Rattus norvegicus: one gene and its partners. The protein of the gene in region 1 purifies or fractionates together with the protein of each later gene. This does not show direct contact. Links are inferred from orthologs where the notes say so. Each region holds a gene or a part of one and is shown in the gene's direction. Other genes may lie near its edges. The genes, in order: Anapc15, Anapc2, Anapc7, Cdc27, Anapc4, Anapc1 and Cdc26.

Evidence for each region.
Region 2: the proteins of Anapc15 (region 1) and Anapc2 purify together in Homo sapiens (affinity purification with mass spectrometry; 4 studies listed by BioGRID and IntAct, with this or other methods). This does not show direct contact. The link is inferred for Rattus norvegicus from reciprocal best matches to the Homo sapiens genes ANAPC15 and ANAPC2.
Region 3: the proteins of Anapc15 (region 1) and Anapc7 purify together in Homo sapiens (affinity purification with mass spectrometry; 3 studies listed by BioGRID and IntAct, with this or other methods). This does not show direct contact. The link is inferred for Rattus norvegicus from reciprocal best matches to the Homo sapiens genes ANAPC15 and ANAPC7.
Region 4: the proteins of Anapc15 (region 1) and Cdc27 purify together in Homo sapiens (affinity purification with mass spectrometry; 3 studies listed by BioGRID and IntAct, with this or other methods). This does not show direct contact. The link is inferred for Rattus norvegicus from reciprocal best matches to the Homo sapiens genes ANAPC15 and CDC27.
Region 5: the proteins of Anapc15 (region 1) and Anapc4 purify together in Homo sapiens (affinity purification with mass spectrometry; 10 studies listed by BioGRID and IntAct, with this or other methods). This does not show direct contact. The link is inferred for Rattus norvegicus from reciprocal best matches to the Homo sapiens genes ANAPC15 and ANAPC4.
Region 6: the proteins of Anapc15 (region 1) and Anapc1 purify together in Homo sapiens (affinity purification with mass spectrometry; 3 studies listed by BioGRID and IntAct, with this or other methods). This does not show direct contact. The link is inferred for Rattus norvegicus from reciprocal best matches to the Homo sapiens genes ANAPC15 and ANAPC1.
Region 7: the proteins of Anapc15 (region 1) and Cdc26 purify together in Homo sapiens (affinity purification with mass spectrometry; 3 studies listed by BioGRID and IntAct, with this or other methods). This does not show direct contact. The link is inferred for Rattus norvegicus from reciprocal best matches to the Homo sapiens genes ANAPC15 and CDC26.

What each region holds. Positions count from the first base shown.
Region 1 is NC_086019.1:165,672,994-165,677,259, forward strand, and holds the start of Anapc15 (anaphase-promoting complex subunit 15), read left to right. Parts: upstream 1-1,466; 5' UTR 1,467-1,482; exon of another isoform or gene 1,483-2,384; intron 2,385-2,760; 5' UTR 2,761-2,822; coding exon 2,823-2,845; intron 2,846-2,968; coding exon 2,969-3,098; intron 3,099-4,001; coding exon 4,002-4,061; intron 4,062-4,266. UniProt on the Homo sapiens protein: Component of the anaphase promoting complex/cyclosome (APC/C), a cell cycle-regulated E3 ubiquitin ligase that controls progression through mitosis and the G1 phase of the cell cycle.
Region 2 is NC_086021.1:28,483,344-28,487,427, forward strand, and holds the start of Anapc2 (anaphase-promoting complex subunit 2), read left to right. Parts: upstream 1-1,284; 5' UTR 1,285-1,289; coding exon 1,290-1,448; intron 1,449-1,684; coding exon 1,685-2,307; intron 2,308-2,543; coding exon 2,544-2,676; intron 2,677-3,432; coding exon 3,433-3,607; intron 3,608-4,084. Other genes in the region: microtubule nucleation factor SSNA1, read right to left, coding at 227-334, 698-897, 1,071-1,122. UniProt on the Homo sapiens protein: Together with the RING-H2 protein ANAPC11, constitutes the catalytic component of the anaphase promoting complex/cyclosome (APC/C), a cell cycle-regulated E3 ubiquitin ligase that controls progression through mitosis and the G1 phase of the cell cycle.
Region 3 is NC_086030.1:39,793,849-39,797,614, reverse strand, and holds the end of Anapc7 (anaphase-promoting complex subunit 7), read left to right. Parts: intron 1-699; coding exon 700-850; intron 851-2,473; coding exon 2,474-2,663; 3' UTR 2,664-3,266; downstream 3,267-3,766. UniProt on the Homo sapiens protein: Component of the anaphase promoting complex/cyclosome (APC/C), a cell cycle-regulated E3 ubiquitin ligase that controls progression through mitosis and the G1 phase of the cell cycle.
Region 4 is NC_086028.1:89,911,771-89,915,270, reverse strand, and holds part of Cdc27 (cell division cycle protein 27 homolog), read left to right. Parts: intron 1-278; coding exon 279-431; intron 432-2,183; coding exon 2,184-2,392; intron 2,393-3,500. UniProt on the Homo sapiens protein: Component of the anaphase promoting complex/cyclosome (APC/C), a cell cycle-regulated E3 ubiquitin ligase that controls progression through mitosis and the G1 phase of the cell cycle.
Region 5 is NC_086032.1:62,367,773-62,371,844, reverse strand, and holds the start of Anapc4 (anaphase-promoting complex subunit 4), read left to right. Parts: upstream 1-1,272; 5' UTR 1,273-1,454; coding exon 1,455-1,583; intron 1,584-3,004; coding exon 3,005-3,110; intron 3,111-4,072. UniProt on the Homo sapiens protein: Component of the anaphase promoting complex/cyclosome (APC/C), a cell cycle-regulated E3 ubiquitin ligase that controls progression through mitosis and the G1 phase of the cell cycle.
Region 6 is NC_086021.1:136,310,465-136,313,964, reverse strand, and holds part of Anapc1 (anaphase-promoting complex subunit 1), read left to right. Parts: intron 1-1,096; coding exon 1,097-1,183; intron 1,184-1,759; coding exon 1,760-1,855; intron 1,856-3,302; coding exon 3,303-3,500. UniProt on the Homo sapiens protein: Component of the anaphase promoting complex/cyclosome (APC/C), a cell cycle-regulated E3 ubiquitin ligase that controls progression through mitosis and the G1 phase of the cell cycle.
Region 7 is NC_086023.1:80,872,527-80,876,507, reverse strand, and holds the start of Cdc26 (anaphase-promoting complex subunit CDC26), read left to right. Parts: upstream 1-1,181; 5' UTR 1,182-1,249; intron 1,250-3,977; exon of another isoform or gene 3,978-3,981. Other genes in the region: Prpf4 (U4/U6 small nuclear ribonucleoprotein Prp4), read right to left, coding at 45-222, 896-922. UniProt on the Homo sapiens protein: Component of the anaphase promoting complex/cyclosome (APC/C), a cell cycle-regulated E3 ubiquitin ligase that controls progression through mitosis and the G1 phase of the cell cycle.

The sequences.
Region 1 (4,266 bases):
TCCTGACAGGCTGGATACACCTCAGGAGGGCAGTTGAATTTCCCAGAAATAGAATGTGGGGGCCAATTGCTGACTGATTCCTCAAGGCTGTTATATGTATTCTGAGGGCAATTAACATGTTCACAGATTTATACCCAGCTTATATCAGAACCTGAAACAGACTTCACACAAATACTTTTTGTCCAACGCATACATAAAAAATGAGAAAAGCCAGGTGTGGTGTCACACACCTTTAATCCAGGCATTCAGGAGGCAGCGCCAGGCCAGCCTGGTCTACAGAGTGAGTTCCAGGACAGTCAAGGCTACACAGAGAAACACTGTCTCAACAAACGAACAAAAAAGAAAACAAACAAACAACAACAACAACAAAACAAAAAACAAAGTAGTGGATAGATGAAGCACTGGCTGCCCTTCCAAAGAACCCAGGTTCAATTCCCAGCACTGATAGATTGGCTCACAACCATCTTTAACTCCACTTGGATTCCAGGGATCCGCTTCTTGCCTCTATAGGCACCAGGCACGAACTGGTGCAAATACACACACACACACACACACACACACGCGCGCGCGCTTTCTTTTTTTTTTTTTTTTTTTTTTTTTTAAGATTTATTTATTTATTTTGTATATGAGTACACTGTAGCTGTCTTCAGACACACCAGAAGGGGATATCAGATCCCATTACGGATGGTTGTGAGCCACCATGTGGTTGCTGGGAATTGAACTCAGGACCTCTGGAAGAGCAGTCGGTGCTCTTAACCACTGAGCCATCTCTCCAGCCCACGCGCGCGCTTTCCAAACACTCATACACATAAAATAAAATTTTAAATAGATAAAAAGAGGCCAGCATGGTGTTATACAGTTTTTATACCGGCACGAGGCAAGGCCCGAAGATCTCTGACTTCGAGGCCAACCTGGTCTAGTGAGTTTCAGGCCGGTCAGGAATACGCAGTGAGACCCTGTCTCAACAAAGAAAAGCAAATATTGTGGATATGATGTAGCTCCGTGTCAGAGGCCTGTCTAGCGTGTTCAAGGTAGCCTCTCAAAAAGAAAAGAATGTATTCATACAGGAAACTGAGTCTGAGAGGAACAGAAGGGAACAGATGTTCCTGGAACGCAGCACACACAGGATCCTCACAAGCGAACACTTCTGGAAACCATTATATTTCGAAGAGATTTAACACTCAGACACCGCCTAGTGACAAGCGGGCGGGACTAAACGGACGCTGGAGAGGGGCTAGCCTGCAGAAACCAGGCCCTTGAAACTCAAGGCGGGGCCGATAGGTAGACGGAGCAAATAAATGTCCTCCCCCAACCTGTACGTAACTAAGGTACGTCAACATCACTTCCGGTGTGGTAGTTGAAGCGGGAAACAAAAGGAGACGGAAGACGCATGCGTTAGTGAGTCCCGGATTCTGGTGGGTTCTTCCGCTCAGGTCTGGGGAAGCGCTTCCGGGTCGCCGCCGGCTGCCGGCTCTTGGCGCGGTAAGTGCGGAAACAAGACTACTGTCGTCTCCTTGCTTGTTCTTTCTTCCGGCTTTCAGAGAAACCTAGTTCCTTTGACTCGCCTCCCTAGCAGCTCATTTTCCCCTTTTTTACTCTTAACGACATCCTACTCATTGGCCGCTTCCTAGAGTCTAAGCCCCACCCATCACACATGTTCCGTCATGCATTGGTTTCACTTCCTGTCACCCAGCATTTCTTTCAGTTAATTGGCTTCAGCCAGGCCGCGCGCATTTTGCGATTAGCATCCCTATAAGGTCTAAATCCTGATGAAGACCCGCCCCTGCCTCCTTCTTGTTGGTCAATCTTGCAGTCATTATCATAATGAGCAAAGAATGGGCGGTGGTGGGTAGGATTTTAGGATACAAAATCTGTCAGTACTTTTGGGATGGGGGTGGACGCTTTTTTTCCTGTCACACGGACCTGGGAGGCTTTGGTTTAGGGAATAACAGCGTTTAGTTCTGCGTGGGTCAAATTAAGTTAGAACCAAAGCTAGAGTAGGGCCTGGTGTGGTAGCTGGTGTACGCCCTTAATCCCAGCATTCGGGAGCTGAGGCATGCTGATCTCTGTGAGTTTGGGACTAGACTGGTCTATGTTGTGACTTCCATGCCAGTCAGGGCTAAATAGTGAAACCCTATCTCATTTACTAAAAATAGGGGGAAACACCAAGGTAGACACCTAATTTATTTTTTCCTGTGCCCTTCCTACTTTACTGGGCCAGGATCCCTTCCTTATATATGTTTTAAATCCCCACCGAGTGTGTGGCCGAAGTCAAGCTCTAACATGTCACTGGGTTTGTGAGCAGATGGGTTTTAGTTGAGCTTCTCGGTTACCTTCCTGGTCAGCAGCTTCAGCCCACAGAGTTGATTTTTTTTCTCTTACATGTTAGTTCATTATTCATTCTTACACTAGTTTGTTTTTCTATTTACTCAACCCTCCTAGGATATCTTTTATCCTTGGTTGTGTGTACTGTAGTTTGGTTGGCGAGAGAGGTGGTTCGTGTCTGAAACATTTTGCACTGGTTGTATGTGAAAGAGCAAAAAATAAGTTTTATGGTGTGTGTGTGTGTGTTTGTGTGTTTAAAATGAATTTTACTAGGTCTCTACTATCGCTAATTTTGTACATGATCACAATGTCACATTCCGTCTCTGGCTCCCAGTCTCTTCTCTCCTCAAGCAGCATACAGCTTTCATTATTTTATTATTTTTTGTCATAATAACTTTGAGGATGATATAATTTTAATTATCCCCATTCTTACAGATGAGGAAACTGAGGCCCAGAGAGGTTAAGTGTATTGGCCAAAGTCAAACAGCTAGTAAGTGATGGAGCCAGGACTCAAACTCAGGTCTGTCTGATTTCAAGAGGGAAGGGCAGCTTCTCTGCTACCTCCCGCTCCACCCCATCCCTATATCAAATTACAACTGCATCGGTTCAAAACAAAACGTGTTCACGTGACCCTTTCCCTCAGCTTAGGAGCCATGTCCACCTTGTTCCCTTCACTCTTTCCTCGTGTGACTGAGACACTGTGGTTTAATCTGGATCGACCCTGTGTGGAGGAGACAGAGCTGCAGCAGCAGGAGCAGCAGCATCAGGCCTGGGTGAGTGAGGACCTAGCGAAGCATGGAGGTGCACCACCTAGGATATGACCTTGCCGTACACTGCTTAGGAAAACATTTGTCACTGTGTTGGGAATACTCAAGCTGGGTTCTTGGGGATAAAGGTCTTACTTTGTGGTACCTTAACTTGCTGAGGGACCCTAGGACTTTGGGGCTAGATTAGATAGATGGCAAGCTCCTGGCAGCCTAAAGGCTTTTCTGTACATCACAGGACTTAATCATTTAAACTCTTTTTTTTTTTTAAAGATTTATTTATTTATTTATTTATTTATTTATTAATTATATATAAGTACACTGTAGCTGTCTTCAGACACACCAGAAGAGGGCATCAGATCTCATTACAGATGGTTGTGAGCCACCATGTGGTTGCTGGGATTTCAACTCAGGACCTCTGGAAGAGCAGTCAGTGCTTATTTATTTATTTATACACTCCAGATTTTATTTCCCTCCTGGTCCCTTCCCCCAGGGTTCTACATCTCATACCTCCTCCTCCCCCGCAATCATCCTCCTTCTCCACAAAGATGTCCCCACCCCACCCACTCCACAGTCAGTGCTCTTAACCACTGAGCCATCTCTACAGCCCATCATTTAAACTCTTAATGAGGACCCACACAATGCCATATTCTAGGCTGAGTGTCTCATTTCACCCTCACCAGAATTATATGAAAACACTGAGGCCAAAAGACTTTACATATGCCCATCTATTTTATAAGGAGCAGATGACAAGAGAAAGGGAGATTGAATCCTCCTGAGAACTGGGGTCGGGGGAGAAGCTTTGTTTCAACATTGGGAGTCTGGTAAGGGGCAGAATGAGCCAGTCCAGTGCTCCTAACCTGCTCTGCCTATGCCGTGGCCCTACTTTTCCCCACACTCCTTTGCCTACAGCTCCAAAGCATCGCAGAGAAAGACAACAACCTGGTACCCATCGGCAAGCCTGCCTCCGAGGTGAGTGGTCCTGTGGTCCCGTGGGTGGGCTGTGTGAAGACCAGTGGACAAGGCCTTACTTTAACGGCCTTGCTTTTGGCTCAGAACAATTGTGGTTTTCAGTCTGGGCAGACAGTGAAAGTGAGAACTCGAGGGCTAGGCATTGTGCCTAGTTAGTACTAAGGTCCTTCAGGTCATGCAGCAGCTTGCCACACTCAAGGCGGGC
Region 2 (4,084 bases), on another chromosome or scaffold:
GCTGACCAGGAGCTCAAGGTTCCAATAACACATGTGAGTGCGGAGCTGGGAACACATCTTCCATTGGACTGTCCTGGGGCTTGTCTTGTCACTCAAGGCAGGTGGAGGTCAGAAATTGACACTCAGGGCACCAGAGATAAAAGACATCTGAGGCCATGGAGAACAAAGATGCTTTAGGACAGACATGTTGGGGAGCAGCCATAGGCCACGGCTGAGACAGGGCTTGTCAGCTGTCTTTGCCTCCACTACTCTTCTGGTCTGAAGCCGTGGCTTTAGTCAGGTTCCCAGCTTCTCTTTTGAGTACACTAAGCAGAGTCTGAGAGCTCTCCAGGATCTGGGGCCAGAGAAATAGAAGGATGTTATTTCTCTGGTAAGAAGATTCCCACTGCCTCAGCCTCTGATAGTGGAGGATGGGAATCTCAGTCTGGCCATCTGTGCTGAGTCAACGGGTTATGGAGGATGGTGGGGGCAATAAAATTATCCTCCCTCCTGCACCTGTCCCAGAGCTCTTCCACCCTGCAAAGCCAGGCTGAGTTAGTTCACCCACCACTATGGTACTCTGTCCAGCACACCACTGCTCACTCTCTTGGATCCCACAAACAGCCCACTGTCCGGCCTACAGCCTCTGAACCACAATGGGCCCTACCTAGCCTCAGATGGTAGTGAGGCACTGACAACGCATATCTGAGAGCCCCACCTTGAGGTAGGCGGCCTCTGTCTCCGCAATGGTCCGGTCAAACTCGTTGCGAGAGGCGATCTTGCGCGCCAGGTTCTCGTTGACGCGGGCCAATTTCTCCGTGAGCTGCCTCACCTCATTCTGTAGCCGCTGCTTTTCGTCCTCCTCCTGCTGGATCTGCCGGCACAGCTCCTCTCGTTTCTGACACAACTCTTCGATGCCTAGGGTGGGCGGGAAGACAGAGCTGTAGGTTGGGGCTCGTGAACTTCGGACCCCGACCAGCACGACAGAGGGGAGGCCGCAGAGCGGAGCTCGTGAGGCATGTCGACGCAGCCTCCCGAGTGTGTGGGTTGGCCGGCCCCCGGCCCCGCGGCCTTCAGCGCCCGACGCTCACACTTGACCAACTCGTTGTTGTAGTTCTGCAGCGCCGCGCCCTGTTGGGTCATGGTCGGCACCGCGTCCGTAAGCCTCAACCGCCGCCTGCACCGCCAAGCCCGCGCCTGCGCACTGCCTACACAGCGCGCGCGAGCAAGCGAACGTCACGACTGCGCCACAGCCCGCGCTTGCGTCATCACCGTGCGCTACGCTGGGCGGGTCTGTTTTGTGGACAGTGATGGAGGCCGAGGGTGTGGCGGTATCGGTGGCGGCGGCGGCGGCGGCGACAACGACAATTGTCGCCACGGATGACTGCGACTCTAGGCCTGGACAGGAGCTCGTGGTTGCCTGGAATACTGTGAGCACCGGTCTGGTGCCGCCGGCTGCGCTGGGGCTGGTGAGGCCGGGGAAAGGTTGGCGGGCCTGTGCAGAGTTGCCACGACTTTGTCCTTTAGGGAGTCCATCCTTGGGTCCTCATAGCTCCCGTGCTCTGCCCGTAGTGGGCTTGCCTCCTTCCTCAGCTATCTGATTTGTTTGGTTTCCTGGCAGCCCTTCGGCTGCTGTTTTTTTCCACACCCCTCCTCTCCTTTTACCCCTGTTCCGCCCCTCTGCTCACGGTTTTCCGTGCTCCAGGCATCTTCCCGGACCAGCGGTGCAGTTCCACCAAAGGAGGAAGAGCTTCGTGCAGCGGTAGAAGTTCTGAGGGCCCACGGTCTGCACTCTGTCCTGGAGGAGTGGTTCGTGGAAGTGCTGCAGAATGACCTTCAAGGCAACATTGCCACGGAGTTCTGGAATGCCATCTCCCTTCGCGAAAACTCTGTCGATGAACCCCAATGCCTTGTGCTGCTCCTGGATGCGTTCGGTCTGCTGGAAAGCCGCTTGGATCCCTATCTGCATAGCCTAGAACTCCTAGAGAAATGGACTCGTCTGGGCTTGCTGATGGGCGCTGGAGCTCAGGGTCTTCGGGAGAAAGTTCACACTATGTTGCGGGGAGTCCTGTTTTTTTCCACCCCTAGGACATTCCAGGAGATGGTCCAGCGCCTCTATGGTCGTTTCCTGAGAGTCTATATGCAGAGCAAGAGAAAAGGAGAAGGGGGCACAGATCCAGAACTAGAGGGAGAGCTGGACAGCCGGTATGCCCGCCGCAGGTACTACCGACTTTTGCAGAGCCCTCTGTGTGCAGGATGTGGCAGTGACAAGCAGCAGTGCTGGTGCCGGCAGGCCCTGGAGCAGTTCAACCAGCTCAGCCAGGTCCTGTAAGTACTGCTTCCTGGCCATGCCTCAGTTTCTTTAAAAAGATCTCTGAATAGAGCTAATAAACTGGATGGCGAGGTCTTTTTCGCCTATACTTGTGACCAGGGATTATTGTGTATCAAGTGTATGCTGTCCTGGACATAGGCCTAGGGTGTGTGTACAGTGTCTTTCTGGGAAGACCCCTTCGGGTAAAGGACACATGTGTTGTGGGTTCTCCATAAGCGGGGATCTCCTCCAGGCATAGGCTCAGTCTGCTGGAGCGGGTTAGCGCTGAGGCCGTGACCACCACCCTGCATCAGGTGACCCGGGAAAGGATGGAAGACCGCTGCCGAGGAGAGTATGAGCGCTCTTTCTTGCGTGAGTTCCACAAGGTGAGAATCTCCTCCTTGGTCTGTTTCCTGTTAAGGGCAACGATGGGGTTGGGGTAGACCTAATAGCAAACAGTGGAGTGGTGATGGTTGAGATTATCTTGCTGCCGTATAGAGGCCAATCTTGGACCCTGGTGACAAGGACAAATCTGGTATGTACCAAATAGGTCTGTGCATTTAAAATAAAACCTTTAAATCCTGGGCCAGAGGTGGCTTCAAGGAGTTTCCTCAGGCAGGTGTGGCAAGACAGGTCTACCAGACCCTTTTCTTTCCACTGTCCTATAAAACATATGTTGACTTAACAGTTCCCTTCAGGATTAACCTATAACCAGTCTGGAGCTAGGCTGTCCTCAGTGAATGCCTCTGGTTGTCCATACTCTTGAGGTATGGTTTGTAATTCTTCTGTGGGGTTCCCAGCATTGTGAAGAAGCCAGGTTGAGCTCCATGCAGTCGTGCACCTTGTTTCTGCTTCAGTCCATACCTCCCACTCTTTGAGTGTCTGTCTGCTGCAGATGCATATTAGCCATGGTAGGGAATGATCAAAGTGGGTGTCCCCGCAGTGTTAGCCGTGTAGAGTCATGAACCTGGGAACTCCTGGGGCAGCTGCATTGAACCCTGGGCAGTGGAGTGTAGATCTGATACTTCTGGCCTCCATGCACAGGTCGGGGCTCCACTAGCATCCTGCCGAAGCTGTGTGGTTGCTGAGTCAGAATGGAGCTTTTAAATGTTATTACACCTCATACTAATGATCTTTCACAGTGGATCGAGAGAGTGGTTGGTTGGCTTGGCAAAGTGTTCCTTCAGGACAACCCCAGCAGACCAACTTCTCCAGAAGCTGGGAACACACTGCGTCGTTGGCGCTGTCACGTACAGAGATTCTTCTACCGAATCTATGCCAGCCTACGTATTGAGGAGCTTTTCAGCATCATCCGAGGTTGGTCCTGCTTCTTACTTTGCAGGACCTACCTTTCCCAGTCATTTTCTTTGCCTTACCTGCTGCTGTTGGCAGGGTGATAAGCTGAGCAGAGTGGACTTAAGTATAACATGTAGGAAAATATAGTGTCAGGTTGTAGAGATGTCTCATCAGTTAAGATGGCTTGTTGCTCTGACAGAATACTCAGGTTGTTGTCAGCACCCGTGTGGCAGCTCATAGCCATCTGTAGCTCCAGTTCCAGGAGATCAAGAACCCTCTTCTGCCCTCCACTGGTACCAGGCATCCACATGGAGCCTATACATCTGGGCAGCAAACAGTCCCTGCAAACAAATACTCACATGCATAAAGATTTTAATCTTTTTTTTTTTTTTTGGTTCTTTTTTTCGGAGCTGGGGACCGAACCCAGGGCCTTGCGCTTCCTAGGCAAGCGCTCTACCACTGAGCTAAATCCCCAACCCCAAGATTTTAATCTTAAAA
Region 3 (3,766 bases), on another chromosome or scaffold:
ACAGATGGTGGAGCAGTTCTGCCTGCACCTGCCTGAAGTGCTGTGTGTGTCACACCAGATGTGGCTTAGACCTGCTTAGGTTGGTTTACACCAGTTAACGTTACTTGGTAGCTGGTGAACTCATCTGGTTGGTTTAGTTTTGAACTCGTTTAGTGTGTTACAGCTGACTTTGGTCAGTTTGGTTCTGAGCTATCTGGATTCTCTTGTTCTTTTTGCTTCTGGCATATTCCTAAGTTTATTTGATGCTATCAAGAGGGTATTTTGGTTCAGGGTTCTAGTTCAGGGCCATTGGCCTCATCTGGTGCTGGCCTGGTCTGCAGAGGAGTTCCAGGACAGCTCGTCTGCAAAAAAAAAAAAAAAAAGTTTTTTTTAAAGATTCAGGGCACAGACTCAGTGGCTTGGGTAAAGAGGCCACCAAGACTGACGACCTCAGTTCAGTCCTCAGGACCTGCGTGATAGATAGATTGTCCTCTGACCTCCTCTCATGTGCTGTGTGTGCTTGCCCACACCACTGTATAAATAAGTTCATGGATGCATGGTTTTTAAAGACACAGTACTCATGTCATTTCCCAATGAACTAGAGACCACATGCCCCTCACCCCTGCAGCGCCCCTTTGAGGGGGTCTCTGAGAAAGTTGTCGTGTCATAGTGGGTGTGACTGTGCACTAGCTGAGCAGTAAAGGTTGTCTTTCTCTGCAGGCAGGGAGCAGAAGTACGAAGATGGAATTGCTCTGCTGAGAAATGCACTGGCCAACCAGAGCGACTGCGTCCTGCACCGCATCCTGGGGGACTTCCTGGTGTCTGTGAATGAGTACCAGGAAGCAATGGACCAGTATAGCATAGCACTGAGGTAGGTGCCCGGCCTCCATGGGGAGGAGAGGAAAGGAAGCAGGGCCCAGGCAGCTCTGCAGACAGCTGTGCCCAAGGTGAAGGCAGGCTAAGAATAGCAATGAGAGAAGGTATTTGCAAATTCATGACTCCTGACATATTTTCCTAAAGCATATTAGAAGAATTAGAGATGATCATCCTTCTCCAGCCCACATAAGAGTAACACCCAGACTGATCTGTGCGGCTCTCCTGTGCTTGCCCACACCCCCATGACGTCATAGGCTTATGCCGAGTACATATTTTACATTCTGCTTTTTATGATCAGAGTTTGCTAAGTGTGTGCTTCTGGTTTTGTCTGCTCTAGTAATTAAAAACTTAAATTCCGAAGTTTGAGTACAGCTTCTACCTGTTATCTTGGTCAAATACTAACCAATTCCCTGTCTATACCTACCTCATTGGGCATTAACTAGGGGTATCAAGATAATAATTGCTACATAATCGTGCAGACCCAAGTTCGATTCCCAAAACACATGTAAAGGTTGAAGGAGAGAATTGACTCCAAGGTTGTCCTCTGACGTGTGCGCCATGGCTTTTACACAACGCACAGACAATGTGTGTGTGTACACACAATAATACATTTAATTTTTTAATGTAAATTTCTAGGACTTTTCTTTTAAAGCTTTCTTAGGAGCCAAATAAATGAGGCTCCTGGGCTCTGGGCTTCATGGTGTTGCTACTAGTGAAACTGTCTTAGTCCAGCCCCTAGCCTCAGGACTTATGATCTGTCCCAGAGTGTAGCATGGTTGACGGCGGTGGCTGCCTGCAGTCCACGGTATAAAGTCACATGGAAGAATAACCAGCCTGGGGCAGGCTACATGCAATCATCATGTACCCGAGGCTGCCCGGGTGTCCTGATCCTGTTTCCCTCCTGGATGTGCTGGGCTGTGTCCTGTGCCTGGCCTCAAGCACCAGGCCTTCTGCGAGCACCGCTGCTCTGTCTGGTCACTGCCCCCGACTGCCCTCACTGCCTCCCCTGCTCCCACTGCCTCCCCTGCCCCCACTGTCCCCACTGTCCTCCACTGTCCTCCACTGCCCCCACTGCCTCCACTGCCCCCACTGCCTCCCATTGCCTCCACTTCCCCCACTGCCTCCACTGCCTACAGGAGAGTTAAGGGCTTGGTATTTGAGGAGCTTTAAAAACTTTTTGGAGGAAAATTTGAAGTTAGAATTTTTAATTGCCATTTTAAAGTGAATTGTTTATTAATTTATTTTATGTGGATGGGTTTGCTTGCATGAATGTCTGTGGACCATGTATGTGCCTGGTGCCCAGAGAGGCCAGAGGAGGGTGTCAGATACTTGGGAACTGGGGTCACTGTTGGTCATGAGTCATATATGGGTGCTGGGAACTGAACCCAGCAACAGATGCACTTGACCACTGAGCCACCTCTCCGGCCCCTTCAAGTTAAAAGTTCTAAAACTCCGAATAATGTCCCTTTTCATCTCTGATGGACTCCCTGGGTCCAGCCATGGAAGCACAGTTGTTTGCAACGTCTCTGGCTTAGTCATATCTGCTGGGCCAGCTCAGTGACAGTCCCAAGAAGCAGGGCAGAGACTCAGGCCTGTCTTCTGTTTTGTTGTTCCTCAGTTTGGACCCCAATGACCAGAAGTCCCTGGAGGGCATGCAGAAGATGGAGAAGGAGGGGAGCCCCACAGACGCCACTCAGGAGGACGACGTGGACGACATGGAGGGCAGTGGGGAAGAAGGGGACCTGGAGGGTAGCGACAGTGAGGCAGCCCAGTGGGCTGACCAGGAGCAGTGGTTTGGCATGCAGTGAGGGCACAGCGGTGACCCTTGTGTCCCTAGAGTGGCAGGAGCTGTTGGACGTGTGCTCACAGCAGGCCTTTCTGCCTGTTTCCTCAAGTTGGCACTGATGTTTGTCCGTCTGCTTTGCTGTGGACTGAGCGAGTTCCGAGCCACAGACTCGCCATTCTGGATGGTTCGGCTGCACGAAATGGAAGATGCTTTTTCTCTTTATGAGCGGGTACATAGGACTGAGCCATCCTCTTAAGAGCACATGCCCCTGGGTGGCCCTGTCAGAGGTTCGGTCCCTGGGAGTCACATCCTGGTACGGCCACACTCCTGTAGTCATGGAGCTCTGGATGGGGGGGGGCGGGCTGTGCCTCACTGACTGCAGAGCAGGCTCGGCCTCAGTGGGCAGATCTGAGAAGCAGATGATGGGAGCATGGCCACCCCAGGGCAGGTTCAACTAATAAAACTGCCCAGTGTGGTGTCACATGTCACAGTGGACACCCTTTGAGACTCTTCCTTTTTCCTCCTTGTCAGAGGCAGCCATGCAGGCCTAGACAGTTTGACATACATATACTCCCTATTCTCCCATGTGCTGGGAGGCAGAGCCCTGAGCTTGTCACACAGAACCAGCCTGGCTCTTTCCTGAGTCCCTGAGGGCAGGGTCAGCCTTGATCATCTGCCTAGAGTCTCATTCAGCTACTGGGGATGGGTCGACTCCAGGTCCCTCCTGGGTGCCTTTCAAGATGCAGATCGGTGTGCTAGGAAGAAATGAGGTTTACTGTAAAGAATCCGTAGTCGATTTCAGAGCATCTGTCAGTGCAGTGAAGTGGGCCACGTAGTCTGGTGGAAACATTCCGGAAGCCTGCACTTGGGAGGCAGAGGCAGACAGTTCAAATGTGCTGGGCTGCACTGCAAGATTTGCATTAAGAGACATAAGTTAAGCGGACCAGGTCTCATAAAGTGTGTCAGTGAGCCTCAGCCTCCACACTAGCCGGCCCTGAGCAGTCTCAGGCTCCCTTTGAGCAAGCAGCATGTGGGTGGTGCTTTTCCTGACTCCACCCCGCCAGCAGCCCCACTCACCAGTCAGTGCTGAGAGAAGGCAAAATCTGTTCAGCCACAAATTGAACC
Region 4 (3,500 bases), on another chromosome or scaffold:
AGGTCCTCTGTCGGGCAGCCATTGCTCCAGCCCCATCTTTGTCTTTTTTTTTGTTTTTTTTTTTTTTTAATAGAAATTTTTTTTCAGACTTTACATCTTTATCCCTAGTTAAAATACAGGAACTAGGCTAATGCCTCAGTATTTGACCTCTCACAGTGATTTCTCTCCATACTGATTCCCATAAAGCACAGTCCTTGCAGAAATTTGGTCCTGTGACGACAATAACCTGCACTAGTCTGTCTGTCTGTACAGTTCACTCACTAGTTCTTTAATTTTAGGCTGAAAGAATATTCTCAGAAGTTAGAAGGATTGAGAGTTTCAGAGTTGAGGGTATGGAGATCTACTCTACAACACTCTGGCATCTTCAGAAAGATGTTGCTCTTTCGGTTCTTTCAAAAGATTTAACAGACATGGATAAGAATTCACCAGAGGTATGCTAACAGCAGTCTGTTTTACTCGTTTAATTTTTGGGTGCAGTGCTGGTCTGGAACCCAGCACTGTAGGTATGCTAGGCACATAATCTTTGACCCCAACATAGCTTTTGATCACCAGAACAAATATAGTCCTGTATCACGTAATGATACATTCTGGCAAGTGCATTGTTAGGTAATTTTTTGTCATTTTTGCAAAGTGTCATAAGATATAATTACAAAACAATTGAGTTATTCACTACACAGCTAGTTTGTTACTAACTCTGGACTTCATGAGGTTGTTTCAGAAAGACTCTTCTCACACATGCCAAAAAGCCATGCTTGGTGACTCTTGGTTGTCACTCAGTTCTTGGAAGGCCTGTCCAGACAGCCAAACAGAACTTCAACCTTCAAAAAATCCAACCAGATTTTGTGTGTGGGAGCACATACATGCCATAGTGAGTATATTTGGATTTTAGGAGACAACATTTGAGAGTCCATTTTTCTTTAAATAATGTGGACTCCAAGGATTCAACTCCAGGTCATCAGGCTTGGCAGCAAGCCCTCTTACCCACTGAGTCGTTTTGCTGGCCCTTAATTGCCATTTGAAGACAGACATAGATTGATTCATATGTACTAATCTTGTAGTAAGTATTTCAGGACATTTATTTGAAGGTCTTTGTTCGTCCCTGGTGTCAGGACCTTGCTGTTTTCCCTAGGCTGTTCTTTAACTTTTGAACCTCTCATTCCCACAGCCGGAATCACAGCCACTCAGATGGTTTTTAGTGATACTTTAGTGAAGTGCACGCAAACCTGGATTCAAATTGCTGTTCTCTTCTGGCCTCTGTAAACTTCACAAGTGTACAAATTCACAGGAGGACAGATTAAATACTAATATTATTAAATACTGATATTATATCATCTTTAAGAAAATTAAAAAAAAAAAAAAACATGGCCAGTAAGATAGCTTCAATAGGTGCTAGGGAGATGGCTCTGCCGGTGAAAATTTGCTGTGCACACTGGCGCCCTGAGTCCTATTTCCAGAACACATAGTGATAGGAGAAAACCAGCTCCCTGAAACCATTCTCCTAAGCCAATTGTGATGCCACATGCTTTTAATCCCACACTCAAGAGGCAAAGGCAGGCAAATAGATCTCCAAGTTCAAAGCCATCCTGGTGTCTACTAAGTGAGTTCCAGGACAGACAAGATTACACAGAGAAACTCTATCAAAGAAAAACACTCTGCTCTAACCTGCACATGTGGAATTTGTGTATGAGTAAGAGTTTTTAAAAAGAGAAAATCATAGTCAAAAATTTGAATTTCTTCAGGGTTTTGTCCTGTAAATAAAATCTGAGACTTGATTTTGTCACAGGATTGGTTTTGTTAAAAAGTAAAATAAAAATTTGGTCAGAGAAATGGCTTAATGGGTAACAATGGTTGTGCTAACATGAGAACCTGAATTTGAATCTCCAGAACCCACATAAACGCCAGGCATAGTGTGGTTAAACTGCTGGATACCAGCACCTCTACAGGGAGGAGATGGGAAGCAGAGACAGGCAAACCCTGGCAAGCTTGCAGGCAGCTAGCCTGCTGCACACCACAGACAACACAGACCCTGACTCAAACAAGCTGGAAAGCAAGGATCCACACTCACACCACACACAGTTTTTTAGGTCAAAATTAAATTAAAATTGTAAGTTACTTTTGACGATAGTTTTCTTTATAGAGCATAAAAACTTTTAACTGACTAGTTCTTGTTTCTGTTTTGTCAGGCTTGGTGTGCTGCAGGGAATTGTTTCAGTCTACAACGGGAGCATGATATAGCAATTAAATTCTTCCAAAGAGCTATCCAGGTGGATCCAAATTATGCTTATGCCTATACTCTATTAGGACATGAATTTGTGTTAACTGAAGAACTAGATAAAGCATTAGCATGTTTTCGAAATGCTATAAGAGTAAATCCCAGACATTATAATGCATGGTAAGTAAAGAGACAAAGTCTTACTAAAGATCGTTTTATTTATTTAATTTAATTTGTGTATATTGTGTCTGTATGGGCTGTGTGGGCCACAGCAAACAGTGGAGGTTAGAAGAGCATTGCAAGCCTTTTCTCCAGGCTTGGCAACGCGCACCTTTACCCAAGGAGTGGCTCTTCTTCTTTTTATGATTTTTTTTTTTTAGGTATGCCTATTGTGCTCGTATATATGTATGTATTACGTACATCACATGCAGGCCTGGTGTCTTAGTTAGGGTTACTATTGTTGTGACAAAATTCCATTACCAAAAAGCAAATACGGAAGGAAGGGTTTATTTGACTTACACTTCCATATTGCTATTACTCCTCAGAGGAAGTCAGGACAGGAACTCAGACAGAGTAGGGCCCGGAGGTAGAAGCTGATGCTTGCCTTACGTACATGAAGCCCTGGATTCTTTCTATTCTAGAAAGTAAAGTCTAAAAATTTAGAAAAGAGACCAAGAAAAGGTACTATTAGGTAATAAGAAAGGACAAAGTTTAAGCAAAAGGATACATGAGTTAGGAAGCAGATATAAGACTTGTATTTTTCAGTTTCAACCCTACTGTAAGTTTTTTGTTGTTCTGTTTTGGATTTTGTGGTAGATGTGTTAACTCTTCCTTTGTACTGATATTCATATTCGAAGAACCATTTTTACTTTCCAAATGAATCCATGTGTTATTCCTTTGAGACAGTGATGATGAAAAGTTGGTCTTTGTTTTTTTAATTTTATGAACCATTAACCCAATAGAAACTAAACATCGCTGGTCAGTGAGTAGATTGTTGCATTCACCCAGGTAGAAAAAAAAGCCAGGTGACGGTGGCACATACCTTTAGTCTCAGCCCTGAGGAGGCAGAGGCAGGCCAGGCAAATCTCTGAGTTTGAGACCGGCCTGATCTACAGAAGGAGTTACAGGACAGCCAGGGCTACACAGAGAAAACCCTGTCTTAAAAAACAAAACAAAAAATGTTCAGGAAGAAGAGTTTTTCTAACCTGCAATCCCCACCCCATTTTTTTCTTTTGTTTAAACCACCCTATATGGTGTTTTATTTAATATGTAAATTATATTGCTATAT
Region 5 (4,072 bases), on another chromosome or scaffold:
ATTGTTCTGTTCCTCAGTGGATTCCGATGAAAAGTGGTAACAAAATCAGATATAACTCTAAGAGAAGCCACTGGAGGAGAATGGAGCTGGGTTCATAAGCATTCACACAATGGCAAGACTGAGGGTTTATACTGAACTGAGATCATCGATCAGTCCTACCAGATGGATTTCAACAATTTTAACCTGGAGACTTGCTTGCATCTAAATTAGGGTGTTTGTTCAGTAATAACATTTAGAACCTTTCAAAAAAAAAAAAACTACTACACATGACAAAATGTAGACTTTGCTAAGAAGGATGAGAACTCTCCCATCTTGCAGGATGGTCTTTGTACTTAAAACTGTCCCCCAGAGAAGTTGTGATCAACATATTGATTATTGAAGTTGCCTGGCAGTCAGTTTCTGTCCAAATTTTCTCACAAAATTGAATGTTTAGATAGCCATAGAATAAATCCTGCTTCCTCTTAACTGTGGTGAGTTTGTTACAAGTTAAGTGATTATTTAAATAGGATGAGAAGTCAAACTATTTGTCCCGTGTCCGGGAGGGTACAAACACTTTAACATATTTTTCTGTAAACAGTGTTTTGTTTTGTTTTTAAATGTTAATTTCTGTCCAATGTTAATTCTCTTTTAGTTTGCTAAACTTCTGCCTGATAGAGAGGGCTTTTTGTTGTTTTAAATTCTACTGTGCAGCCAGCGCTGAAAACTACTATGAGTGTCCCAAAGGAGGTGTGTGGATCGGGAGTTTTGATTAGAGCCTAAACCTGGAACAATCAAGGGATTATCTGCATTGAAGCAAATTTCTGAACAAACGGCAAAGACCTTAAAGGGGTTCCCACTATGAGTGTCCCAAAGGAGGTGTGTGGATCGGGAGTTTTGATTAGAGCCTAAACCTGGAACAATCAAGGGATTATCTGCATAGAAGCAAATTTCTGAGCAAACGGCAAAGACCTTAAAGGGGTTCCCACTTGTCCGCGTATACACCGTTAAGGATCCTTTGGAGCTTGCTGGGTACTAGGCAACCCAGAGTAGCGGACCTTCAAGGCACTAGAGCTCGCTCCGCCCCTAGCCACGCCCAGCCACGCTCCTCTCACTTCTAGCCCCGCCCACCCCTGCTGTAGCCCAGGCCAACTTTGCCTTAGGCACTCGCTTGCCGCGTCCACATAGCTCCGCCTCATATCAAGCCCCGCCCAAGTGCGCAGCCCTGCGTTCTCCCCGCCCCACCTGCGCGCCGCCGCTTTGCCACTCACTTCCTCTCGCGAGGACAACCTAGCGTCGGCGCCGGAAGCTTCCTCTGAGCGCGGAGGGCGGAGTGAGAGGGCGGGGAAGGCAGCTGGCTAGGAGTAGGCCGAGTTTGAGAGTCTGGCAGGTACCGCTGCTGGCAGGGCTTTGCGCCAAAGCTTTGTGGCCGGGTGCTCCGACGGCCTTCACGAGAGCGTCGTTGCAGGGCCGCACCCATGCTGCGCTTTCCGACCTGTTTCCCATCCTTTCGGGTGGTGGGAGAGAAGCAACTGCCGCAAGAGATTATTTTCTTGGCCTGGTCACCCAAGCGAGACCTCATTGCTTTGGCCAACACTACAGGCGAGGTAAGTGAGCTGGTGAGAGTTTGCCTATGCTGGGACTCTCGAGCCTCAGTTTCCCCTTTCGCAGACATGTTGAATCACATATCTATCCTGTCCCTACATCTCAGCGTGGCTGTTCACTTGAAGAGAAAGTGTAAAGGACCGTGCCTGCCAAACATGGTGTATATTCCATTTCCTGTATGGCCAGAAGAACAAATTCCCTCAAAGTTCTGCACACACAGGTCTCCATGAATTGATTTGGCCAGGGATGCAACATCAGACCCCGCCCAATTGGCTTTCAGATGAGTAGAGAATGAAGATGAACTGTCAGGTCCAACTAGAAATGTGTGTGTGTGCACGCGCAGTTGCTACGGAGGATGTTTGGTTTTGAATTTTTATATTTTTGTTACATCTAGCTATTTAAAAGATCTTTAAGTTGAGAGGCTGTGCTTCACAGAATTGCAGACAGAATGTGTATGAACATCGTCAATTAGCATTTCTAACATTAGAAACGTGAACACTCAGTATCAAGTATAACCAGAACATACCCAACTTTTTGTGGGGGAAAATTATTACCTGGCAGCCATCTTGAAAGGAACCCTTCAGCTGTGCCATTTAACATCTCACCTATGTAAAACTAGGTGGTAAGGAAGTCCTAGCATCCAGGGCAGTTTCGTGTGCCAAATTGCATTATCGTGTTGTGTGTCATGATGGCTCTGTCTCTAAGATCCATGGCTGGTGACAAAGCTAAGAGCAGTCATGGTTGTTATTTTACTATGTCACAGCTACCTTTTGATATTGTTTCTGTTACTTCTTTTGTTTGTCATCTGGGACAGCCTTCTTAACCTTTTCAAAAAAGTAAGCTTAAAAGATATGAAAGGGGCTGGAGACGAGCTCAGCCATCCAGAGCACATGCTGTTCTTAGTGATGACCTGGGCTTGGTTCATAGCACCCACATGGGTACTCGCACCTGTCAGTAGCTCCAGTTCCAGGGAGAACTGATGCCCTCTTCTGGCCTCCTTGGGCACTGGCTGCACAAATGTGATATAAATATATACATGTACACACGTGTACTTTTAAAAAAAATGAAGGCCGGACAGATGACTCAGTGGTTAAGAGCACTGACTGCTCTCCCAGAGGTCCTGAGTTCAAATTCCAGCAACCATATGGTGGCTCACAACCATCTGTAATGAGATCGATGCCCTCTTCTGGTGTGTCTGAAGACACCTACAGTGTACTTAAAAAATGAAAATATGTAGAGTGCAGGTCTGAGTTGTGCCCTCTGAGTTCATCCATTTCTTTGAAAATGTCTTACATTCATTTGGACACAGTTGCTTTGTGGACAGCTAAATACTCAAAAGTGGTAATTAAAGTTTGTGTTCTGGGGGTCTAGGTTCATTTTATTTCTGCAGATGAGTTTCTGCTATTACATCTTTTCGTCTTAGGTTTTACTGCATCGCCTTGCAAGTTTTCATCGCGTCTGGAGTTTTCCACCAAATGAAAGTACAGGAAAAGAAGTGACCTGCTTGGCCTGGAGACCAGATGGCAAACGTATGATAATGCTACGAATGTGTATCTTTTATTTTCAAAAAGGATATTCTAAAAAGAATACATTTTTCTTGGCACATTTTAGAATTATGGTTTTGTTTCTGTTATATAGGTCTTACCACACAACCCCGACTGACCTAGGACTTGCTGTGTAAACCAGGCTGCACTAGAACTTACAGAGACTCACCTGCCTCTGCCTCCCCCGTGCTAGGCTTAAGAACATGTGTTACCTACCATACCTGGCCCTATATTAGAATTGTAAATACTAGTTTGAGACTTTTTCTTTTTAGAATGTTTAAAATATTTTTCGTGAAAGTCTGTTGTTGGCAAGGATAACTCTTTATCAAGCCCTGGCTTTGTGGCAGATAGGATCGCAGTCTGACACAGTTATAGACCACTTGGCTTTGGTTCTCTCTGCTCTCTTGTCCTACATCATTTGACCCAAGTACCGTTCACCACTCATGGGTCAGTTCAGTGCCATCACAGCCCTTTTCTCCCCCAAATTCAGTTGGCACTAAATGTGAGGTTCATAAATTTTCTCTATGTAAGGCAGTTTACCACTCCCGAGAAACCTCCCACTGGGACTCCATTTCCCACAGGTCTTTTCCTGCTGTTGTTGTTCAGATCATTCATCTTGCATGGGTGTGTGTGGGGGTTGCATGCGTGTGTCCAAGTGGGTGTGGGTGGGTATGTGATTTGTTTAGTTTTTTAAATTGATAGTTTTTTGAGCAGTTATTCCAAGTGTTAGAATAGTAAAATGCTATGGGCTACAGCTTGTGGTCTGTAAGTCACATAGGGCTCTGAATAACAATGAATGTGGCCCATGGCCCAACACAATTTTTTTTTAAATATTTATTTATTTATTTATTTTGTGTATGTAAGAACGCTGTCTCTATCTTCAGACACACCAGAAGAGGCCATCTGATCCCATTGCAGATGGTTGTGAGCCACCAAGTGGTTGCTGG
Region 6 (3,500 bases), on another chromosome or scaffold:
CCAGTGTTAGATGTTCTCTTACTGAGCTGTAACCCAGGCCCAGCCATACTGTGCGGTTTCTGTGCCCCAGTCTCCTGAGTGCTGGGATTATAGGCAAACACCACCATGCGTGGCTATACTCCACTGAGGGGAAAACCCATATATTAAACCACACTTGTTTCTTTAATCTTGATGACAGCTTATGTCTTGCTTTTTAGTTTACTATTTCCTAGTACTCAGCTACAGTAGTGTTTAAAATGAAAAAAAAAATGGTTAAAATGTGAGTTAAAGCTCTTTACTGTGAAAAGTTCAGTGCATATTTTGTGTTCTAGAATTCATTTCTGCCGTTAAGAATGTGTTCTGTAACACATCTAGCTTTAAACTTGGGAATTTAATCTCAGATTTAAGGATTTCAGGGCAGAGGTTTGTTGAGGAGCCTCTGAGTACCTGGATCTCAGGCCACACAAGCAAAGCTGTGTTAGCTCAGCCGCCGGGGGCAGCCACTTTCACTTCCTTTCTTCCTGAGTAAGGAGGTAACAGTTCATGTAGTCCACTTACATCTCATCTGAACCGCTCAGCCGGTACTGATCTTCCTCACAGCCATCGGGGTGTGAGTGTACGGAAGCCCCAGCCTTGATGTCAAGTGTGGATTGTTGCCAGAATATTTTGAAGATTTTTTTTTCTGGCTTAAGTTAGCATTTTTTTTTTTTCTAACAGAACCTGCATGAAAAGCTAATCCAATTGTAAGTTTGAGCTTAATTCTGAATATTGAAAGTATATAAATATTAAAGGACAGCTCAATATCTTGCCTTCTGGGATTTCAGAAGTAAAATAGGAACCTAACCTGAAGTACTCCATTTTCAGTTTTGAGTAGTTCATATGAGAGAAGACATGTTTATTACTGACCTTTTGGTAAATCAACACTTCATATTACCTTTGCAAAAGCTTGTAACTTCCTAACAGAACAGGATGACAGATTCTAGCTTGTTTTGTCTTGTGGGACCATTGTGTGAAAGGAGGGGGTAGAGTTCTTATAACTATAGGCCTTATAGTGTGAGCAGAAAGGGAAGTAATAATTGGTTATCTCATTTAAAGTGGGAATTGTTTTTCTTTTTAGCCAGAAACAATTTCATCATTCACTTCTGATCCAGCACTTCTGTCATTTGCTGAATATTTCTGCAAGCCGACTGTGAGCATGGGCCAAGTAAGTATTATATTGTTTTATTGTTTGCCGGGCACCAGGATAAGACTTTGTTAGTTCTATCAATAGACAACCAAAATCACCTGTACTATTCATGCCTGCCTTTGAGGTTGATGATATCCTTTATGTGTGTTAGAGATTGCTGATAAAACCTGTGCCTTCTATTGCCACCACCACATCTTCCTCTCTCCCCAGTCCCCTTGTGGATGTGACTCTGAGAACTCCATTTACCTGGGTGTTGTTTACCCCTACATCTCTGTTGGTGCTGTGCTGCCTTTCTGGATCCCACTCCCAGCTGACTGAAGGCTCGTCTTTGTTGTTCTCACAGATTTTTTTTTTCTTTTTAACCCTAAATTGATCAATTATGTGCCAGATCACATGCTGCTACCTCAGCATTCTTTTTGTGTTTTCAGTGATGTTATAACACTGTTTGGACTATGACTTTGTGAAGAGATGAACTGTTTACACTGTTTATCGTAGAGCTTCAGAATGAGCTATTAGTAGCTGTCACAGGTTGTTTCTTGAATTGGTTTTGTGATATGCTTTGATGTGCTACAAAGTACTTGTGCTTTCCCACAGAAACAGGAGATTCTGGACCTCTTTTCTTCCATACTTTATGAGTGTGTTGCTCAGGAAACTCCAGAGATGTTGCCTGCCTACATAGCAATGGATCAGGTATGATTCCAAAATCATTTGCATTCTGTTGCAATTGTATTGATGATGTGCTTCAGATGACCCACTACACAGTGTGGGAAGATCCCTATGGATTCAGTTTCTTGTTTACTTTTAGACATCTTATCAAGAAGCCATTTCCAGTTGACAGCCCTATGCTGATGCCCAAAGGCTGGACTTTGTGCTAGCAGGCGTGCTCTCTGGAGACTGCCTTCCTCTTGGGAGTCCCACATCCCTTTCTGTCTTCTTCCCTTGGTTTGGAGAGGAAGAGATCATTTCCTTTCTTGCTCTAGTCCTCCTGTGTCATCTCTTGCCACCTTTCTTCATGGGAAGGCCACAGATGAGTAGCAGGTGAGCCCTGTGTGCCCTGCTGTTTGCCTGGATATGCACTTCCACCTCCTCGGTCAAGTCTGCAGGCAGTTTAGAACCAGGAGCTGGTGATTTAGGGACATTGTGTTTATTTTTATTCTCTTGATATTTTGTAAGTGCCTAACAGGGACATAATCTGGCTAAAATTAGTCTGGGCAATCTTAAAATGCAGATCTTCAAATCCTGTTTCATACCTTCTAAGTTAGAATCTGGTGGGCAAAATCTAGAACCCATAGTTTTAAAAATTCTACAGTAATATGAAAAGTGTATAGATTGGCATTTGGGACTCTATTCTCAAGCCAAAGAACTAATCTTTGATGATAAAAATAATCTTGTGGATAACTGAGTGGGAAAAGCAATTAGGCAAGAAACAACTCCCCAGGCATGAAAATCACAATATGTAAAGTCGCACTCTGCATTTCAGCAGGAGCATAGGGCCAGCCAGAATGTGTTACCGTGTGGGTCTTCTCTTCTCAGTTGCAGAGATTCATGGTACTGTGCTGGTGTTCTGCGTGCTGCCTCTCTTGGCACAGCAGCTAAGTTAGGCTTCTTGGTTGTTAGTTAAATGTTCTCTTCTCTTTACAAACTGTGGGTACCCTCATCCCTCCACCATCTAGAGCAGTCTCCATGGATGAATGTCTCCTCTGGTGGTAACCATGGTATCTTTATGGGTGATTCTTAACATCAGTGTGATCAGTGATTAGGTCTCTGCCCCACTGGGATTCCTATCTGTCCCTGCTATGTCATTGTACCCCAACTTCTTCCCCAGAGATTTATACCTGTGTGTGTGTGTGTGTGTGTGTGTGTGTGTGTGTGTGTGTGTTGGGGAGGGGTCTTCATCATTCAGGGTTGCTGAGCCAAGAATGGACTTGACCTTTGTTGCTTTTACTTGGAAGTTGCCTTCATGTTAAGCCACACTGGGGAGGGCTCTTTAATGTAGTCAATGACACTTCAATACCCATGAATCTCCATAGCCTCTTGCTGATCTTGTTAGCCATTTTGGAACATACCCTGAAGACAACGTGATTAGAACAACTTGCCATTTCATTAAACAGACTGTTCTTTCTGTCTCTTTACACAGGCTTTAAGAAGTCTTAAAAAGAGAGACATGTCGAACACATCTGATCTTTGGCAGATAAAGTTGATATTAGAGTTTTTCAGTTCACGAAGCCACCAGGAAAGGCAGCAGACCTATCCTAAGCGAGGGCTCTTCATAAACTCGGAGTTCCTACCTGTGGTGAAGTGCACTGTTGATTCCACCCTGGACCAGTGGCTACAA
Region 7 (3,981 bases), on another chromosome or scaffold:
AAAAAGGGGGGGAGGGGGTGTGTGATTTTCAACTTGCATCTTACCAGACGTTATATTAATATTTCCTGCTTCAATGCCGGCTTTGAGTCCTTCTTTTCCCAAAATCCCAGACTCTCCTTTGGCCAGGCGTTCCCGCTCTTTCTCTTCCAAGCTTCCATAATAGATGTGTGGTTTCTTCACAACAGGAGCAACTAAATCGTCAGGTGCTTTAGTTTTGGTTGTCTGTTAAATCAAAGACCCCGATTAAGGTTTGGTCCTAGCAAACCATGCTTTCCAAAAGAATGAAGGAAATGCTGAGCCTTCATTTTATTTCCTCTCACAACTAGGACAAAGTCGAAAGTGACTTTGCGCCGAGCTCACGCTCTCGTTAAATTTGGCACACAATTACAATTAAACAATTTCTGTCTGATATGTCTTGGTTTGTTTTGGGGCCTGTTACTTTAATCTATTCGAAATGCAATCTCCGATTTTACGAAAATAACTTCTCGCCACTGGACATACACCCAAAACAACCCAAACAATTCGGCGCACCAAGTCACAATGTTACTGGAATACACATTTCAAATACTTTCAGAGCCTATTAGAAGTTGGGAGGCCTCATAAGTACCAGTCGTACAGCTTACGTCAAGACACTGCCCGATTTCAAAGAACTGTGCTTTGGAGCAGTCAGAAAAAGTGTTGTTCACTGCTCAGGGCTTAAGTAAGAGCAGTGCAAAAAGAGCTGCAGTTTAGGCGTTTAGAAATCAGGAAAAGGCTGCTAAGGTCCACACCACGGTCCCCCAGCCTTCCTCCTCCTCCTCCTCTGCCCGGACCCGTAAGGTAACGGCCCTTTCCCACGGGGACCGCGTCCTCCCTAGGAGAGGATAAGCATGAACTTAGATGCGGAACTCCGTACCGTGGAGGAGGCTCGTGAGGAGGCCATGCCGGGCTCTGGAGCCGCGAGGCCCTAGCCAAATCCCGTTCTGCTTTTCAGACCGGGAACCGCGCGCCTAGCAAAGTGGAAGTGCGTCACTGGCCGGAAATGTACCAGTTCGTGCTCTAGGAGTCGCGAAGTATCTTGGGAGTGGTAGTTGCCAAGTGTCGGCTGTCATCGATGGGCGTGGCCTTATAGAGCGGCACAACCTCTCGGGAGAAGAGGCGCGTGGGAAAAAAAGGCGCAGAGCAACTTGGGAAGTGTAGTTCGGGCTGCGTAGCAATGGAGTCAAGGTGGGAGTTGAGGTTCTGGGAAGCTTCAGAGGCCTGAAAAGAGGTAAGTTTGCGAATCGCAAGTCTAATCTGGAACAAACCAAGGGTCTCTGCTCTCCTTCGGGAGGCCTTCCGTCATTTTGAAACCGAGGCCTGTGCTGCCATTGAAATCTCTCCCTAGACTTCTGCAGCATTGGAGCTGGGAAAGAGGACTGTTGTTCACGACGGAAGTTCTCCGGGGGCCCCTGGTAACTGGGTGGCTACGAAGTGATTTTGTGCTTTAAGAAGACATTAAACTCGAAGAGCCTTCTAAGGCTAAAATAGAGATGTGGTGGAGGAGCTGCGGCCTAGTTTGTTGTTGTTTTACTTGTCTACAGCCTGTTCTTTTTATATGTTCTTTGAAATAAAGGGTCCAGGGAGGCGCCAGATAAAGTGTATACCAGCAGCTGCAGTTGCAATGATTGCTAGGCCGTCAGAGATATTTTTTTTTTAAACCCTTACATGAAAGTTGCGGGGATTGCAAAATATTCGCGTTTGCTGAGCTGAACAGACTCATTCTCACTCTTAAGCCTCTTTCTTCCCCGAACAACTCCAGTTAGAAGAGCACTTCCACTTCGAGGGCTTACTAAATGCCACGTTACGCGCAAGGAGCTTATTCTATCTTAGTTATTTAAGTCGCGGGACAACAAGAGTAAAGATCAGAAAATAAATTCTGGTGAGAAAAGGTAATCCGTCGTTCTGGAGCCACAGTGTAGTAGGGTTAGTAATGTGGCGGGTGGACTGCCGCGCTTTTAACCCGTACTCACTGTTGCTCTCTAGTGGTGAGGCTTTCAGTTCATACCCAAGTAGGAAATTATTTTTCTTAAGTATTTCTTCCCTTTCTCTTTGGAGCTGGCTTCCATTTCTCTACTTAGGGATCTGGTAGAAGGTAGTATCTGATAGAATAAAGCAGTTTGAATTGTCACAGGCCAGTGTTTTGTGTTGACCATATGGCCCCTTGAGATGTGATATAATGTGACACTCCTGAGAGAAGTGTAAGAAGTGTAAATGTTTCGTATACATCGTAGTCTTTTGTTTCATTCTGCTAGCATGCAATAATAATTTATATGGATGCACACTATATCGGAACTTTTTTTTTGCGGAACTTTCACGAAGATCATTATCACAACTTTTTATTCTAGTGGTCTATGAGTAACTTTTATAGGAGGCTATTTTGTTTTTTTTTTGGAAGACAGGGTTTCTCTGTGTAGCCCTGGATGCCCTGGAACATGTTCTGTAGACCAGGCTGACCTCAAACTTACAGAGATCTGCTTGCCTCTGCCTTCAGAGTGCTGGGATTAAAGGTGTGTGCCACCACCACCCGGCTTCTGAATTTGTTAATTAAACTGTTTGCTTCAACTTTATAAAACTGGAATAATTTTTCAAGCTTCCCAAGGCTTCTGTATTAAAGTAATATAAAGAATGGGAATGTGGGTTGGTTCAGTCGTAAAGGAGCCCATGCTAAGTGTGGTGTCCTACATAGTAGATGGAGAGAACCAACTCCCAGACATTGTCCTCTGACCTCTGCCTGTGGGCTATGTGCTTTCACCAGCACCCAACAAATAAATAGAACAAACTTTTTTTTAAGAGGCAAAAACTTTTGAGTTATCAAAGTGAGAAGAAAAACCAATAATGGGAGAGTCTAGAATTTAAGAAAAGTTAGTTTCACTTTCTCTATTTTTTATGGCTCAGTTTACTTTGTTGTGGATGCTGTGGAGGACATAGAGACAATACCTTCAACAGATACTAAAGTCAGCTTAGGTTTTCTTTTTTTCTTTTTCTTTTTTTCGGAGCTGGGGACCGAACCCAGGGCCTTGCGCTTGCTAGGCAAGTGCTCTACCACTGAGCTAAATCCCCAACCCCTTAGGTTTTCTTCTTAACTTTTGATTGATTCTTTGTGAACATCACATCATCCACCCCAGTCCCACTCATCTCCCTGTCCCTTTGCATCTGCCCTTGCAACCTCCCCCCTACAATAAGAAAATAAGATAGAATAAACAAAAATTTGTCATGGACTCTGTAGCACATCATGGTGTATCATGGAGTATACCCGTTTGTCCACACACCTAAACTTATAAATGCTCATTCAGTGCAATGAGTCATGGGCCTGTTTTAGGGCCTCTGGCTTTTGCTACACTATACTGGAACCTCACTAGGACTCCTCTCAGATATGTTGTTGCCCTGTGTCATGGAGATGTGACCCTGCAGCTTGTGCAGATCATAGATGGGGTAGATGCTGGGGTGGGCCAACTCAGAGCCCTGGATTTGGTCCTGGGAGGTAGCTGAGTTGATCAGCCTGCCACCTGTATCTGCACCATCCGGGTGAACTCTCCAACACTGCTCCAGCTAGTTTACCCAGTGCCACAGCTGGCAAGGGGGAGTGTCAGCTCTCCTGTTCTCAGGTCTTCAGGGACTACCTCATCCACGCCTTTCACCGGGGCTAGCTCTACTGCTGCCCAGGTGAGTTGCAGGGCCCACTCTACCGGGTGCTGCCAGCTCAAGTGTTTGTTCTGAAACAAACATGGGCTTTGTTAACACAAACCTTCATTCTCCATATGAACTTCTCTGACCTTAAGTCTGTCTGCCTACCCTTCAAATTCACTAAGACACCTTTTCCCATAGGGAATTGAGATCCCTAGCCACTCTTAGGCAGCCCACCCTCGGCTAGATGCTCATGCAGTGCTGTTGAAGGACCCTCCTTAGAGTTCTGTTTTTGCCCTAGATTGGCATGGTCTGTTGTGTTGTGTTTTCCCCACA